Linked DNA regions of Oryctolagus cuniculus. The protein of the gene in region 2 binds, or shares a complex with, the protein of the main gene of each other region. Links are inferred from orthologs where the notes say so. Each region holds a gene or a part of one and is shown on either strand. Other genes may lie near its edges.

Evidence for each region.
Region 1: the proteins of KIF13B (region 2) and ADAP1 are in contact, whole or in part, in a crystal structure (PDB 3MDB), measured with the Homo sapiens proteins. The link is inferred for Oryctolagus cuniculus from reciprocal best matches to the Homo sapiens genes KIF13B and ADAP1. Residues at the interface, in NP_056069.2 of Homo sapiens: Val451, Asn452, Leu453, Asn454, Ala455, Asp456, Pro457, Leu463, Arg512, Phe514, Asn516, Gly517, Arg531, Leu533, Asn536, Asn537, Phe539; in NP_006860.2 of Homo sapiens: Trp137, Asn143, Gly144, Gln145, Phe146, Leu147, Pro186, Ala187, Lys188, Ile189, Gly190, His191, Pro192, His193, Tyr211, Glu213.

Annotation. Positions count from the first base shown.
Region 1 is NC_091450.1:36,357,194-36,360,997, forward strand, and holds part of ADAP1 (arf-GAP with dual PH domain-containing protein 1), read right to left. Parts: exon of another isoform or gene 3,783-3,804; coding exon 3,670-3,782; intron 3,388-3,669; coding exon 3,241-3,387; intron 2,105-3,240; coding exon 2,021-2,104; intron 1,928-2,020; coding exon 1,865-1,927; intron 1,615-1,864; coding exon 1,543-1,614; intron 1,448-1,542; coding exon 1,219-1,447; intron 1,036-1,218; coding exon 1,007-1,035; 3' UTR 1-1,006. UniProt on the Homo sapiens protein: GTPase-activating protein for the ADP ribosylation factor family. Binds phosphatidylinositol 3,4,5-trisphosphate (PtdInsP3) and inositol 1,3,4,5-tetrakisphosphate (InsP4). Regulates the incorporation of CD63 and CD9 into multivesicular bodies.
Region 2 is NC_091433.1:44,892,492-44,896,295, reverse strand, and holds part of KIF13B (kinesin-like protein KIF13B), read right to left. Parts: intron 2,135-3,804; coding exon 1,985-2,134; intron 1,098-1,984; coding exon 969-1,097; intron 1-968. UniProt on the Homo sapiens protein: Involved in reorganization of the cortical cytoskeleton. Regulates axon formation by promoting the formation of extra axons. May be functionally important for the intracellular trafficking of MAGUKs and associated protein complexes.

The DNA.
Region 1 (3,804 bases), on a different chromosome or scaffold from region 2:
GAGCGCGCGCGCCCGGCCCCGGCGGCCAGGGTCCTCTGAGCGCGCGCGCCCGCCCTGGCGGCCAGGGTCCTCTGAGCGCGTGCGCCCGGCCCCGGCGGCCAGGGTCCTGGGGTGGGGGAGCGAGGGCCCGGGGCCACCCATGGCTGCGGCCGCACAGAGCCGGCCCTTCCTGCCCCCACACCTCGGGACGCCGCGAGACCTCCGACACGCGTGATGTCCTGGGTCCAGACCGGGGTTCCCCACCAGCACAGCCACATCCTGGGCTTCGTATCACGCTTGTCCACGTCCTCCCACGCACTGCCCCCACGCGGGGCTGCCCGTGTGTGCACTCGACACACCTGGGGCCCAGTCTGGCCTGGGCGGTAGTGGACGTGGCACGAGGGGCGGGGCGGGGGCGCAGCTCCCCCCCAGTCGTGCCAGGCAGGGCTGAGAGGGGTCCACCCCGGTCACCTGCAGGGGTGCTCTGTGCAGCTGGGGCACAGGGCGCGCACACCGCGGCCCCCACCGTTGGCCCACCAGCAGCAAGCAGGGAGGGGTGAGCTGGGTGCGGGGCCAGCAGTGAGGGTGGGCGGGCGGGCGGGCACCGGCCATCATCAGCACCAAGTGTCTGGCACGCAGGCCACTGGGTCCCCACAGGCGAGGGCTGGGCAACCCGTCTGCCAAGCCAGGGGCCCGGGGGGTGGGGGCCTCCAGCCAGCAGAGGGTCCCCAGGACCGGGGCTGGGTCAGTGTGGGGACCAGGGCCAACGGCCCAGGCTCCAGGACCACAGCAGGTGCACAATAAATACTTGAGGGGGGGGCGGGGCAGGGGAGGGGCAGAGTCCCAGTGCCAGGCCCACGGGGCCCTGCTCCAAGCCAGGGGTCGCCTGGGCAGTCTGCTCGTGATGCGGCCCAGACCCTACCTGGCCGGGCTCCCTGCGTCCACAGCCCCTCCCTGGTCCAGCCTCCAGCTCCTCAGCCACGTCAGCCACGTGAGTCTGTGGTCCCCAGGTGGGCGGTGCTGCGCGCTAGGGCTTATGCTTGAAGTGGGCTTCCACTAGAAACAGAACGGGCATTGGCCTGGTCCCAGCCACACGGGCAGGGGTGCCCCGCGGGCCTGGCCACACCCCCACCCCACGGACCCCACAGGCCTGGCCACGCCCCCACCCCACGGACCCCACAGGCCTGGCCACGCCCCCACCCCACGGACCCCGCAGGCCTGGCCACGCCCCCGCCTCACCTGCATACTCCTGGGGCAGCATGGGCCTGTCCACCACCTTCTGGAAGGCCTGCACCCACTCCCGCTGGTCCGCCTCCGTCTCACAGGTGAACAGGAACTTGCGGTCGGGCGTGACGATGGTGATGCCATGCGGCCAGTGGTGGCCCTGGGTGGCCGGCGGGAGCCCCCCCAGCACCGTGTAGCCGCTCTCCTTGCTGCCGATGAAGACCTCCCCACGGGCGAAGGCGTCCTGTGGGCGGAGCCAGAGGACAGGGCTGGGCTCGAGCCTGCTTCCCGCCCCCACCCACCTGCCAGGCGCCCCCCCCCCCCGGCCCAGCCCCTCACCAGGGGGTCTTTGAAGTACATGAGCCGGCGGTCGTCCATGGTGAACCAGCGTTTCCGGAAGCCCTCGGTTTGCTGCGGGTCAGGGGCGGTCATGAGGGGGCGGCGCGGCCCAGCCCAGCCCTGCCCTACACACCCTCGGCCCTGCACACCCCCAGCTCGGCCCTGCCCTGCCCTGCCCTGCCCTGTGCACCCCCGGCACTGCATACCCCGGCCCGGCCCTGCCCTGTGCACCCCCAGCCTGGCCCTGCCCTAGCCCAGCCCTGCCCGGCCCTGCCCTGTGCACCCCCGGCAGGGGCTCCCGGGGCCGCCGGCCTGCACCCACCTTGGGCCCCGTCTTCTCCATGTAGCCTTCCTTCAGGTAGTTCCTGGAGAGCTTCGGCACCAGCTAGGACATGAGGGCGGTGAGGGCGGGGCCGGGCCACCCCCCCCCCCGCGCGCCCCCCCCGCCCCGGCCCGCCACACGCCCCCGCCCACTCACGTCTGCGTCGCTGGCCCCGGGGAAGGCCACCTGCAGGTAGTGGAAGCGGGCGGCCCGCAGCGCATTGAACCAGTCCACAATCTCCTAGGGGCCGAGAGCAGGCGCACGGTGGGCTCGGGCGAACGAGGGGGCCGCGGGTGGGGCCCGGGCAGGGGCGCACATGGCCAGGACGTGCCCACCGGGCTGAGGCCAGGAGGCCGCCTGGTTCTCGGGGGCCAGGCCACATGGAGCGAGGCTGTGGCCCAGGGCTGCCCGGGCCCCTCTGGACCCCACCTCTCATCTCCCAGGGCCACACCACGGACCATGACACCCAGCCAGCACTAGGTGGTCCCAACCTGAGGGCCCGGCCAGCCCACCTCTCCTCATCGGCCTCGGCCGCAGGCCCTAGGCGGCCGCCTGCCACACCACCCACCCAGGGGAGAGCAGGTGCCCACCGCCTCCTCCGGACCCTCCAGCCACAGGAAGTCCCCTCCCACCCCTGGCTGCAGGTTGGCTCGGCACTGGGCCACCCAGATGGAGGAGGGAGACCGCACGGCCCGGAGCACCAGGTCCTCCCGGAGTGGGCCTGGGACGGGTGACGGCAGCGTCGCACCGAGGCCGTCTCTGGGCCCTGGCCAGGCCCAGCTCCCCCACACCGGGAGCCAGCTGAGCAGAGACAAGGAAGCTTGGGGGACCCTGAGCCTCGAGAGCTCGCAGAAGCCACGCCGCCGACGGGCACGAGCCCGGGGGACGTCCCCGAGAGCAGAGCGGGAGAGAGGGGAGCCACGGGCCGTGGCCTCTGCCCGAGGAGGGGCTCCCAGGAAGGCCAGGGCGGCGAGGGGCAGGGCTGGGTGCCGCTGTCCAGGGACAGCCTCGGCCGCTCCCGGCGCCCACCCTCCCGCCCGCGGCCTCGGCCCCTCCCGGTGCCCGCCCTCCCGCCCGCGGCCTCGGCTGCTCCCGCCCGGGGCCTCGGCCCCTCCCGGTGCCCGCCCTCCCGCCCGCGGCCTCGGCTGCTCCCGCCCAGGGCCTCGGCCGCTCCCGGCGCCCACCCTCCCGCCCGCGGCCTCGGCCCCTCCCGGTGTCCGCCCTCCCGCCCGCGGCCTCGGCTGCTCCCGCCCAGGGCCTCGGCCGCTCCCGGCGCCCACCCTCCCGCCCGCGGCCTCGGCCCCTCCCGGTGTCCGCCCTCCCGCCCGCGGCCTCGGCTGCTCCCGCCCGGGGCCTCGGCCCCTCCCGGCGCCCACCTTGCCGTCGTCGTGGTACAGGAAGATGTTGCGGGTGCTGTTGTCCTTCAGGTAGGTGAGCTGCAGGCCGTGCGGGTGGCCGATCTTGGCCGGTTGGAAGGTGGCGTTCAGGTGCTCGATCTTCATGACGGCCTTGGGCTCCTTGGCCTGGGGGGGAGGGCAAGGCTGAGGCCGGCGGGGTGGGCACAAGGGGCTGGCGCTCCTCACCGACACCCCCCGGGGTCCCCAGGGCCCCCGATGCGCACTGGCTCGGGGGTCCTGGCTGGCTCTGCTGAGGGGGTGTGGCCACGAGGCCCCCGTGGGCTCTGCACGGCCATAAGGCCGAGGGCAGGCACCCAGGCCGCCACTGCCCGCCCACGATCCGTGGCCCCCAACCCCGTGGGGCGGCCCGACCTTCACACAAGACCCATGCGTGTGTCCCCTGCTCACGTCATTCTTGTTGAAGTACTTCAGGGCCCCCTCCCGCTCCGTCAGCACAAACTTCCGGCTCAGGAACTGCCCGTTGTCCCGGCCGCGTTTCCACAGGAAGCCCTCGCGGTACCCTGGAGGGGCGCACAGACCGAG
Region 2 (3,804 bases):
CAGATGGAAGATAACATCCTCTGTCTCTGTCTCTCTGTCTCTCTCCCTCTCAAACAACTAAGTCTTTTTTTTACAAGAGAGGGAGCTGAGTTTAGGCTTTCTTTCCTTGGCCCTTTAATGGCCTCCTTCTAACTTCCGCAATTTTTCCCCGTGTCCCTGGTTGACTTCTTACCCTCAAAACCCTTTTTAATGGTTTCCACAGGAATTCTCAACTAGTGGCAGTGCTGTCCACAGGGGATATTTGGAAATGTAGATTTTTGCACTGCCACAATTAGTGGGGAGTGCCAGAAATGCCATGGCCTCCCTAGCAATCACCCATGAAAACCTACAGCAGCTACAGAGTTCTTCCCGAAATCTTCCTCAAAGCCTGCTATCTGAAGTCACGACATCTGGTCCCCAGCTCTACACACAGTGCTAGGATCTCGGGTACATCTGTTTGCCTCTGGTATCTGAGAGCTCACGGGAAACACACATTTCACAACTGGAATGCATGGCAACAGCAGAACTAAAGGGTCTGGCATCGGGCCATGTGGGAACAACACAGGGAACACCGTAAGAAAAGGTATTTGTGTGGTGAAGCCATGAGGAGTGACGAATGGGAGTGGCTTAGGAACAGGGTGAGTGCTGGGATAAACCACCAGCTTCAGGAGGAACTAAGAGCGCCCAAGATGAAGAGGAAAGTGGTGTGAGAATCTGGGTTTCTCTACAGAGAAATGTGAATCAACAGACCCACATTACAGAAGGGGTGACTTGTCCACAGCGTCTGAGTCATGGACTTGAAGCCACCACACCACTGTTTCAGGATCCATGGACAAAACATGGTTTCTAGAAAATTAAAGATGTGTTTACAAATACTTTCAAACTCCAGGTAAGAACTCAATAAATATTTATATTTATATATACATTGAATATATATATATATTGAAATATATATATTTCAACTATTCCAAAATACGACTGTGACTCACCATGCACACCAGCTTGTTCTCCTGGGCCTCCTTCTCAAAGGATACATCTGTGGCCTCATCACCACCTGCAATTCTTTCCCCAATTTCACCACTGATTCGCATCACCTCTACGTGCAGCCGACCTGCCACCTAGAGCAATAGGAAAACACAGCTCTTCCAGATCTGGTTCTTTCCTTAAGATGATTTCTGCTTTAAAGTCATTATGTTAACAGTACAGTGGTCCTCTAGTTTCCAATCAACTGAACTAGAACCCAGTGGTTCCAGTTATCCAATCAACTGAGGTTCAAAAATACTAGATGGAAAATTCAAGAAACAACTTCTAAGTTTCAAACTGCATATCGTTTTAAGTTGTGTGATGACATCTTGCACCATCCTGCTCCATCCTACCCAGGATGCAAATCCCCCTTTTGTCCTACGTAACCACACCACATGTGCTACCCATCCACTAGTCACTCAGTACATATCTAGTTACCAATTCCACTGCTGTAGTATCACAGTGCTTGTGTTCAAGGAGCCCTTCTTTTATTTAACAATGGCTCCAAAGCACCAGAGTACTGAGGCTGGCAATTCAGATATGCTAAAGAGAAGCCACAAAGTGCTTCAAAAGGTGAAAGCAAACAACATGTTTTGAGAGAGACCACATTCACTTAACTTTTAATATATTGTTACACTATTTTATTAGTTCTCATTGTTAATCTCTTACAATGCCAAATTTACATATTAAACTGAATCGTAAGGTATGCATATTTATGTAGGGTTCAGTGAGTGCCAACTGCAATTTCAGGCATCCATTATGGGTCATGGAACCTGCTTCCCAAGGATAAAGAGGGACAACTGAAAGAATTTAGAAACCTAATGGTTACTCTCTCCTCAAAGCCCTATGGAAATACAAGGTACGAATAATACACTTCGCATATCATTTGCCATTACTGAAACAATGTAACAACATACCATAAGCACCCTATTGTTTCTTGAACTGTTCCCTGCAGAAAACAAGGTCTGAAGAGAAAACCCACCTCTCCTTTCTGGTTGACAATTGGCACAGCATATTGTAACTTCACATCATAAAAAAGGGACTCTAGGAAAACATTGGCCACCCCGATGAGGCTGTGATTTTCCTGCTCATCATAGAATGGATCAGCACGCTTGAAGTAAGAGCGTATTACCTGTAGAGATTAGGAACATACAACTTTAGAAGAGTCACTTAAAGTAAAGGAATGCAAGCTGTTGCTTTTGGACACACTCCAGTTTTAGTCAGCAGACGTCACTTTCATCACTAGACCTTAACTCAGATTCTCAGATTTGTTTGAGAGTCAGAAGCTCGGAGAGACAGGAAAAGACACAGAGAGACAATTTCCACCCACTGGTTTACTCCCTAACTGGCCACAAGCCAGGAGTTGCATCCAGTTCTCCCACAGGCATGGCAGCAGAAGTGGAGCAGCTGGGACTCAAACTGGTGACCATGAGACATTGGCATCACAGGCAGTGGCTTAACCCACCACGCCACAATGCCAGCCCCAACTCTTGTAGTGTTTAGAGTAAATCAACTTATAGCTAAAGTACAGCACTGGAGCCAGCACTGTGGCACAGAGGACAAAGCCAGCTGCTCCACTTCCAATCCAGATCCCTGCTGATGGCCTGGGATAAGCAGCAGAAGATGGCCCAAGTGTTTAGGCCCCTGCCACCTATGGGAGACCTAGATAAAGCTCCTGGCCTGTTACAGTCACCTGGGGAGAGAATCAGTGGATGGAAGATCTCTGTCTCTTCCTCTAACTCTGGCTTTCAAAGTAAGTAAATAAATCTAACAACAATAATACTAGAGAACAGCACCGTATTCTTCATTTGCATGGGCACACACACACTTCCTCATTCCCACTCAGGAAGGTGGTCAGCATTCTTCACCCACTCAAGGGCAGTCCCAATGACGTGTGACCAATTTATCACTACTCCTTTATGTGGAAATCTTGCCGCAAAAACAGTGAGGCAGATATTGGCTAGAAAAAAAAAGCAGAGTGGACCACACTTCCTTTGAGGGAAGAGGGCCCTTTCATGTCTGTCCCATTTCCTGCTACCCAATCATTAGACACACTCCTGCTGCCGCAAATGAGGGGTGACCCTGGGGGAGAGTGGATGCTTCTCTGCATTTGTTATGGCTGTTTTGTTTATAAGCTGAAACGGCAGAGGAATACAGAAGAGAACAAAAAACATTTTAAGCAAAAACGTCACCTATCAGAAGTCATCGTCATTGATGGTCATCTGGAAAAACACACCTTCTTATGAACCAAGAAGCTAGTCAACATGTATGCAGAAACAGACCAGCAGTACTCAAAGCACATTCCTATTTGAAATATGCCAAGTACACGGCTGACCTAAATGACATACTGCAATGTGAGAAAACAATACCAGCATACAGATCGATGGCACCTACTTTAAGATCAAACTCCTTCAAAAACTGATCCCAACAGTGAAAATCTTAAGGTTAACACTGGTGTTCAATTTTAAAAACGCACGCTGTAGGTTTATCATTTGTAAGATTCAATGTGCTGAGAAGCAGGGAAAATGTCCTTTCACAGAACACACGCACACACGCACACACGCGCGTGCGCACCAGCAGAGGGCAGCATGAAAAGCAGACACTTCTGCTAGAACTACAGACCAGAAACAAGGAGAGCAGTGCCAGAAAACCAGTTACTAAAGGTCTTAATTTGCCAAATAATCTAAAGAATTTAAATAAATTTCACTGTAGAAGCAGGACTACCACTTGGAAAAATGAACTCTCTGCCCTTGGAGTGAGTGGGCTTGTTCCTCCTCTGAGTGCCAGCTCAGGAATTTTTCT